Drosophila melanogaster: one gene and its partner. The protein of the gene in region 1 interacts with the protein of each later gene in a pairwise test. Each region holds a gene or a part of one and is shown on either strand. Other genes may lie near its edges. The genes, in order: CG4631 and CG6380.

Region 1 (5,038 bases):
AATTATGTACACCAATTTTCCAATTAAGCTGAGTTACTCACTCTGTAAACCATATTCCAGCTGCTAATTTTGTACAATTTATTTAAAATTTATGCAGAGCAGTAGGGCTGTCCTGTTACTAAAATCTCGCATGAATATCTAATCGGTTTGTTCCTAAAACCCGGCTACTCAAACAGCCAAATTTGATAGGCCCACCCAGGGGCCAATAAAGTGAGAGGCACTTGTTACCAATACGATTCTCGGCTTTAGCGGAAAATTGCGCTCTTCCCACAAAACATTTGCCTTTTGGCTCAAGGCCTTCAGCTCTTCAGTACACGCATACATATATAACAGAAATTAAGGGGGTGGTAGACGTTATGGCCCCCAAAGTACAGTAAAAGCAACCAAAACGAACTGAAAGCTGAATGCCTCAAAACACAAGAACACTCGAGATTTTCAGCCAACTCAACTCTAGAGGAATAAGGTAAGTTTCGATTAGTAGCATGGTTTAAAGGAAATCCTTTTCAGCGGCCAGGCATTTGGCCGCATCATCATCGTTATCATTATCGATGTTCTAGGCCCAAATGAAATGCGGAAAAGCGAAACCAACTTTACCACAAGTGTGCTGCAGTGTTGCGGCTTTTAATCAATGCTAGGGAATATTTACCTTTTTGCTCATAAACTAGGCGAGAGTTTGAATAGTTTCAGTTAAACAAGTACACTTTTCAAACGAAAATTTAATAGGCGGTCAGGCGTGGTATCTCTATACAATCTCGGGTTAAGCTTAGTAACAAATATATACCATATGGATTTTAGATTATTCAGGTGAATATTGGATATAACATCAATCCGATAGATATATATATATTAAATAACGCTGCAATCATAACAAATAACTCAATTTCTTCAGTGTTTCCTCTCTGGAATACAATACTTTGGGCATGATTTTACAACTTTTACCGTGTGGTTTGTTTGGCTTTGCTTTGGTATTTCCATAATATTTATTTTGAGAACCCATCGCTGCTCGTTTACTATATGTGGGCAGTTCGGTACCATCTTCTGAATGCAATCGTTTTTTCCTAAAACCTCGTTCCGGTGACTTTCCCGATCTTCGGCTAAATACACTTTTTGTAGCACTTTTATCTTGACTATGAAGCTTACTGAAGTGCTTAGGTATCTGATCTCCAGCTTCAAGAAGAACATATTTTTCTGCTGGCATCACTCTTTCATTGCTGTAAGGTGTGGGTACACTAAATCGTACCCTTTTATTATTTGTATTCATCTCTAATTGTTTCTTTAAACTTTCCAACTCATCCTGGCTTACGTCCTTTAACTGAGTCTCTTTAGGCTTCTTTATGATACTTTTTGCAGGCTTTATTAGCATTACGGATTCTCCGGCAGTTTTTCTATTAAATTTTAGATTTCTAGCCCGTTCTTTTCTATAATCTTCGGGATCAGGATATTTTGGTTGAGGAATTATTTCATTCTTTGCCAAATGCGGAGTGTTATTTACAGATTTAATTTTATAGGTATCTTGTTGAATTTGATTTTTTAAAGTCTGCTTTTCTTGGCTACTACAAAGTTGTTTCACTCGATGTTGTGCTGAAACATGAGTTCGATTATTATTTGACCTTTTCGAAATTTCAGGTTTTTCGATTTCCAATTTCTTTTGGTTTTGCCTCGCCGATCGCAAGGAATTATTGCTTCTCTTCGTTATAATGTGGGCACTATCTTTCCTTGATTGAGAATACCCAATCTCTTTTGAAGGGAATACTGGTTTGGTGTCCTTTATTGCTTGCTGAAATGCTTTGAACTTATTTCTCTCTATCATCTCATTCCAGAAATCAAAAGTTCCCTTAGTTTTCTTTGCATCATTAATTCTTTTTATAAAGAGCTGCTCCCACTCAAGTTTTCTTTGTTGTTTAATTGGGATTATTAGATTATTGGAAATATTTTTTGTAGGCTGATTTTGATGATCCAGTATTTTTTTCTCCCAACTTATAGATTGCAACCTATTTCCTTGGTTAAATCTATTCTCAGATGGGTAAGTGTCTAAAGGCAATAGACTACTTCCTTTGAAGGGGTTATCCCGTCTGCTCAAGTGTTCATATTTACTTTTAAAACTGTGGTACTCTTCATCCAAAGGTTGTCGTCTGTAACGCGGTATTTCCAAAGGAAGACCACCACTTGGTAGACGTATCATTCTCTGAGGATCTCTGTGCAGCCAACTCCATGGCATACCATTGAAATATGGTTCGGGCATCATGAAACCACCGGAGAATCTGTTTTGGTTCTCAGTACAGGGTCTTACCCGCGGCCTTGGTGGCCTTCCATCAGCAAATAATTGTCTTGTATGTTGGTTTTGTACGACTGCAGCATATAGATTCGAGATGTGATTAATGTGAATAATTTGAGCTGCTTTTGGTGAAATGGGTGCCATTGGAATTTGCTGATTATAGTCGGAATCTAACATGGAACTTTCCAGTTCCTCTGCGCAGACCAACGATCTCATGGCCCCAGGCCTATTTGCATACGGGTTCAAAATTCCGGATCTCTGGATTCTGGGACTTCCGGCCTGGCAAGGACATCGATGGGGTGCATAGCCATATGGTATAGACTCATCCGAGGGATAACTATCTAGATCGCCACGTCTTTCGTATCCCAATCGCTTAAGTCCCGCCCACACATCACTTCCCTTCGATGGTCCTTTTTCCGTAATCCCCCGTCCCGAGAATGGCGTCATGGCATTTTTGCCACAATAACCGGGACTGTGAATGTTCCTCAAATCATCCGTCTGGCTTCTGCATCCCGAACAAGCGCTATTTTGTCCACATCTCTTCGGTAGATTGAGAAAATACTGGATCATGGATATGAGGATGAGCAACGTCCTTGTTGGTATGGAACCCCTTATGTTACCACATTCGTCGAATATCCCGTAGTATAGCTCACAGATGTCGGGTATAACAAACGGTACCTTCAGCGTATTCCAGCCTAACATCAAAGGATATAGAATTCTCGCAAAGACCTGCAGTGTCAATTGGTGTAGAAATTGGCAGACCGTACTGGACGACTTATTGACCATCTTGGCCAGCACCTGGATCATACAACCGTTTCTCTGACCCCATCGCCTCTCGCCCGAAACACAACAGCTGGCTGCCTTTCGTCCCTCCAAAAATGGCCGACAACTTTGGACACGCTGCAGACGTGGAAACTGAGGAAGACAGGCCATCGGGTTCGTGCGATCGCTATGCGATCTACAGCAGCAGGAATTCATTTTGGCCTGACCGTCTTGGCGTTCCGAAAACCAGGTATTTACGAAAGTACAAATTTTGTGATTGCCGCCAGTTCCAGACTAAAATTTTGAATGATTTCTGTGCTGTAATTTTCGAAGCATGCTGAGATACTAAAAAAAAAAACCTTTTACAATAAGCCCATTTAGTTTAATATAAATGGAAATACATTTTGAAAAAAACCTAACATGGGATCTTAAGACTCTCGTTTCTGCAATCTTGCCCTATCACTCAATGACGAATGAATTGAAGCCTCATCCTTGAGCGGCTCTATTTCTTGCTTCATGGATCTGCTTATATATGGCTTGATCCTTGTGGTTGAGAATTTGTAATTGGAATTTCGAATAGTACGTTTTGATTGTCGCCGTTGCCAGGTCCAGTTCTTTTTATGATCAAAAGGTTCGTGGAAAACCATTGCGTCTTGGTCGGCCAAGTATTTTCTGGGCGACTTGGAGGCTTTTGGAACCTTTGGATAGTTCTCCCTGACCTTACCTATAATTCTCCAAGGAATTGGTTCATCTGACGGTGTCTGAACAATGACATTGTAAAGCCGGGAAATCTCCTGGGCGGTTTTCATTTCACGTTTGTAATCTGCCCGTGTCGTTCCTTTCCACTCGAGATCAACCTTTTTTAAGGCTTTCCTCAAATTTTTTTCATTTATATTCATTCCTTTTCTGGCGATCAAGTCTCTTATAAGAATGTGAGTACGTGTTGTTCTCAAATCTCCCACGGGACCTATATAGCTATCCCTAAATCGATGTCGACCCAAAGTTTTCATCAGATATTCCGCATAATCATAGGACTTGGCATAAGCTAGGGCAAGTTCATCATTGAGGAATACAGACTGCCGACCAAAGGTCTTATTTTTTCGCTTCTTTTTTTCCATTTCAGATTCTGATTCTAGTTCACTTTCTAATTCAGATCTCATTACCGGTTGAGGTTTTTCAGTCTTTTTTCCCGTTTTTTCCCTTTTCGATTCACTTGGATTGCCAAGGAGCTGAGAGATCCAATCTGAAGAACTCATAGCTTCTAAATCACTCTGCTCAATATTTGAACGACATTTCGCCTGGTGTTCGTCAGGATACGCCTCGTAGATGGGCGAGTCCTTTCGATCATTAGGCGAATCACCGTTCAAATAATCCAGCAGTAACGGAAGTAAACTTTTAAGACTCCTTGCATGGATGGGACTTCGTAAGTTGCCACGATGATCAAATATGGCCATGTACCGATCACAGACATACGGATAACAAAGGGGCACATTGCAGCCATTCCATCCACACTCCTTGTATTTCAAGAGGTCACTATAGTTCCGTAGGCTGAGATTAAACAGAAAGCCATCGATTTCATCGGGCTGGAATCCCACCAGCTTTGCCAACTGTTCGATTTCCATTTGGTTTCTCTGACGCCAAAGACAATGCTCCTGGGATAGACATGTGGATCTAGACGGTTGTTTTTGGCCAATCGAAACTATCTTGGATGTCCAAGGAAAATTTGCTGTAAGGCTGCAACATATTTTTCGCATGCTCATCCTGTGGCAGATGCTTTAAATTTTGAATAAAATGTTGCTTCTTAAAAGGATCCAAAAATGTAATCGAAAGCCTACACCACAGGGGCATTGTGGTTCAGTAAATTTTTGTTGATCGTAACACTTTCCAAGGAAATACTGGCAATTAAATGAAAGCCAGCCGAAAAACAAATATCCGTTAAATACAAAATTGTGCATATTATTGATTATAGTAAACAAATAATTACACTGAGGCAAAATGATG
Region 2 (3,484 bases), 680 kb from region 1:
ATACGGATACTCAGATACTCGGATACACACACATATACGCAGACACTCGAACACAGATACACAGTTGCGGATACGCAATGCACACATCCTGCCGGCACTGCACATTGTTGCGATTGATGCACATAAGAAATGCAATCGGGGCAACTGCAATTTCGTAAATCGAAGGAAAAATTTCCTAGCCGCATCAACATCGCATTTCGTCTCCGACAGAGAGGCAATCAAACATGGCAGGAAAACTGCAGCTGAAAAACAGTTGTTGACTGTTTGCCGGCATCGCCTATATCTCCATCATCATGATGTTGATGATCATCATCATCTTCACCTCGCAACAGGACACAACATCGCAACGTCATCATCGCGTGGAGGAACAAGTGAAGGAGGACATATCCTCGTCATCGTCACTTTTATGCTGCTGTTTTGTCGCATCCACTGTGCTTATAAGCATCCGCTCGTCACATGCGTGCAAGCGTATCGGGGATCTACACAGCGAGAAAACGGATTTAGCTTATAATTTTTAGTAATATACATTTTGAATAATATATACCTAATTAGTCATTCCATCAGATAAACGGAAACTGATAATATTGTCTCTCCCCTTAAAATATATTAATATTAATATAAAAATATTAAAGGCATCGTGCTTTAATATTTTTACGCATTTTTTCTCGCGGTGTCTGGGCTCGTATCTGAACGTACTCCGGCAAAGGCTTGTTTATTTGCTGGCAAAATTGTGAAATAATGTGCTGCAATCAATTCCCAATACAGCGCTCCGTGACCTCTAGCCCCTCTTCACATGCGGCACTCCCTCACTTTTCCCTTTGGAAAAGCGGGAGAAAGCGGGAAAAACGGTGTGCAGTGAAGTTATTTGAAGTGGCAGCTGCCACAGAGCGAACTGCAACTGCCACAACTGCATTGGTTGCCCCACGCCTCTTATCATCACTTGATTTACCGCCCCCACTTCCCCCATTTTCCACGTTTTCGTCCGTATCGGAGGTAACATGTTTGTGATGAATATGTTTACATCAATAACAAAAACTCCACTATGGCGCATCAATAATGAAGCCTTGCTCTGACTCCGCTTTACAAAACCCCCTATCATTCCATCCAACGGGCGGCAAAACCCCATTTTGAACACGTCAAAATGAGTTTACTTTGTGGTTTCGATGGCTGCGATTGGAAACTGCTCCCGCGGATTATGAAGTATCTCGATTGGAGTACCGAATACATTCATCCACACACAAACACATCGAGTTCTTGACATCCTCAACACAAAAACAACAGTAGCAATGGCAACAGGGATTACTTCGAGATTGCAGCAGGAAAACCACTTGATATTTTGAAAGTGAATCCGTCCACAGTCTGATCGGAGATTTGGTATTATCCGAGATTAGGGGTTGGGTATTTGCTCGATACGGAGACAAGGACTTAATTTATAATTAATAAACATGTTTGGCTTAATTTACCAGAGAATAATGATGGAGTAACAATGAATTTGAAACTCCACTAAGCAGCATTTAAACAACATACGTAAACATACAAATTTAATATGTATGGTAACAATAAATAAAGTAATTTTAAAATCGAATATAAGAAGATAATATGTGACTTGAAGCAGGCATACCTTCTACTACATAATTAGATCCCAATTTAAAATGTTAAACAGAGTAATTTGAGTGCAGAGTTCATAGAGAGATTTATGATAATAAATTAAAAATAAAATAAAAAATTGTACGCGAATGTAATGAAGTTATACAATAATCTTCCAAGAAAAGGAGCCCACGATTTTTATATATTTTTTGACGATGACAATGTATTTTATCAGTTAAATATTATAAGCCATATAGGGCACACACAAGTTTACACTAATACATTTTAGTTCGGTAATTAGTTCCTTTCAAAGGCCAAAACTACACATAGCTACAAACAAGAATGGATGGGGACCAAGTAAAGGGCATCCTGAAGTCGGGAAACAATAGTGCGCAATTTAGCCTGAAGGCAGCCAAATTTGATGAGGTCAACATACTGGCCACGTTCCACCCGGCTGGTAAGGACTACGGCCACATGATCATCGACGAACCAAAGACACCCTTCGTCTTTGAGGAGGATTTGCCAAAGGAGTTGGATACAAATGCCCTGATCGAAAAGTTGAGACACACATCAAAGTCAGAAATGCCGGCATTTGGCATCGAAGGAGACTCAGAAGAATCCTCGGCGGATGAGGACTTTCCCGAGTCTGTAGAGGAAAAAGTGCGTAGAATGGAGTTTGAGAGGCGGCGAAAAGTGCATTACAAGGAGTTCTATTCGGTTCCACTGGCTCGACGTCTTATAGCCGACGAGTTTGCCGAGTTGACCAGTTCAGAGTTTAATATTCACTGCGAAGGGGGAATGGAATCTTGTGAAGCGTGCAGTGAAAACAATCAACTCGACGGCGAAGCAAGCAACTTGACGCAAACAAAATACTCATATTCTGAAAGTCAATCCGAATACAGGATATCAGATCATTCTGAGCCTGAACCAGGTTTCTCCCCCAGCCATCACTGCTACCAAAAACTGAAGGCCGAGCTCTTTAGCAAAGCAGAGCCGGAAGAATTGGCCTCTTTAACGCACTTGCATCGAATGCCATCGGTCAACGATGATGAACCAAGTCGCGAGCCTCGCGTCCCATACCCTTCGGTTGTTCCGACTCAAACCCAAAATCTACATGAACACAAGAGTTCACTGAAAATAACGTCCGAGAAGCCTACTCCTGCTCGTATATGTAAATCCAACCCTGATAATCGTCCTGGCACTTCTAAGAAAGAGACCCGCTGAAATCATTCAGTAGTGTTAAAAATTGCAAAGTTATATTAAAGAAACTTGTAATTATAACAAACCATTGGGGATTAAAACTTGTGTATGCATTTGACAGAAAGTATCTATTACACTACATCTATCTACACTCTTTTGTAGAAGAAGCTTTTAACAAATGTTGCCTAATGGTTTTTACTCAAGGATAAATATCTTTAATTACTCAATCACAAAAATTGTGTCCAATAACTTTCGGTCATTCCACTCCTGTTCGTGCCTCGTCTAAGTTGCTAAGGAAATTATAGGAAAATTCTAAGTACCACTGGCCAGGCTAATTGCTGAGATGTTGATATGATTAACCCACTAACCTTCATTTGCTCCCCATCTATTAATACTTTGCTTCCGAAAGTTCACTGGTCTGGGGAATATTTAATTACGCAATGTCCTAACGGTAATCATCATTCGGCCGAAGCTAGATACAAGGATACACAGCCAGAGTTTAACTTATTTTGGCATTTTGTTTTGTGATTGAAAATTCCTTTTGACAGTCTAGGCAACCGAAGAGTTTTCCTTCCGGCCAATCGCTTTCATTCTGATTTCATGCTCTGGCCATTCCAATTGTGAAGAAAACTGATTTCTGCCCTTTAAGATAATTCCTCGGATATTACAACTGCAGAATCACTTGAAATAATTATGC

What was found.
Region 2: the proteins of CG4631 (region 1) and CG6380 interact in a two-hybrid assay, tested with the Drosophila melanogaster proteins (one large-scale study listed by BioGRID).

Annotation. Positions count from the first base shown.
Region 1 is NT_033779.5:16,605,705-16,610,742, reverse strand, and holds CG4631 (uncharacterized protein), read right to left. Parts: upstream 3,374-5,038; 5' UTR 3,254-3,373; coding exon 863-3,253; 3' UTR 706-862; downstream 1-705. Other genes in the region: CG31815 (uncharacterized protein), read right to left, coding at 3,466-4,797.
Region 2 is NT_033779.5:17,290,554-17,294,037, reverse strand, and holds CG6380 (uncharacterized protein), read left to right. Parts: upstream 1-1,835; 5' UTR 1,836-1,929; coding exon 1,930-2,811; 3' UTR 2,812-2,963; downstream 2,964-3,484.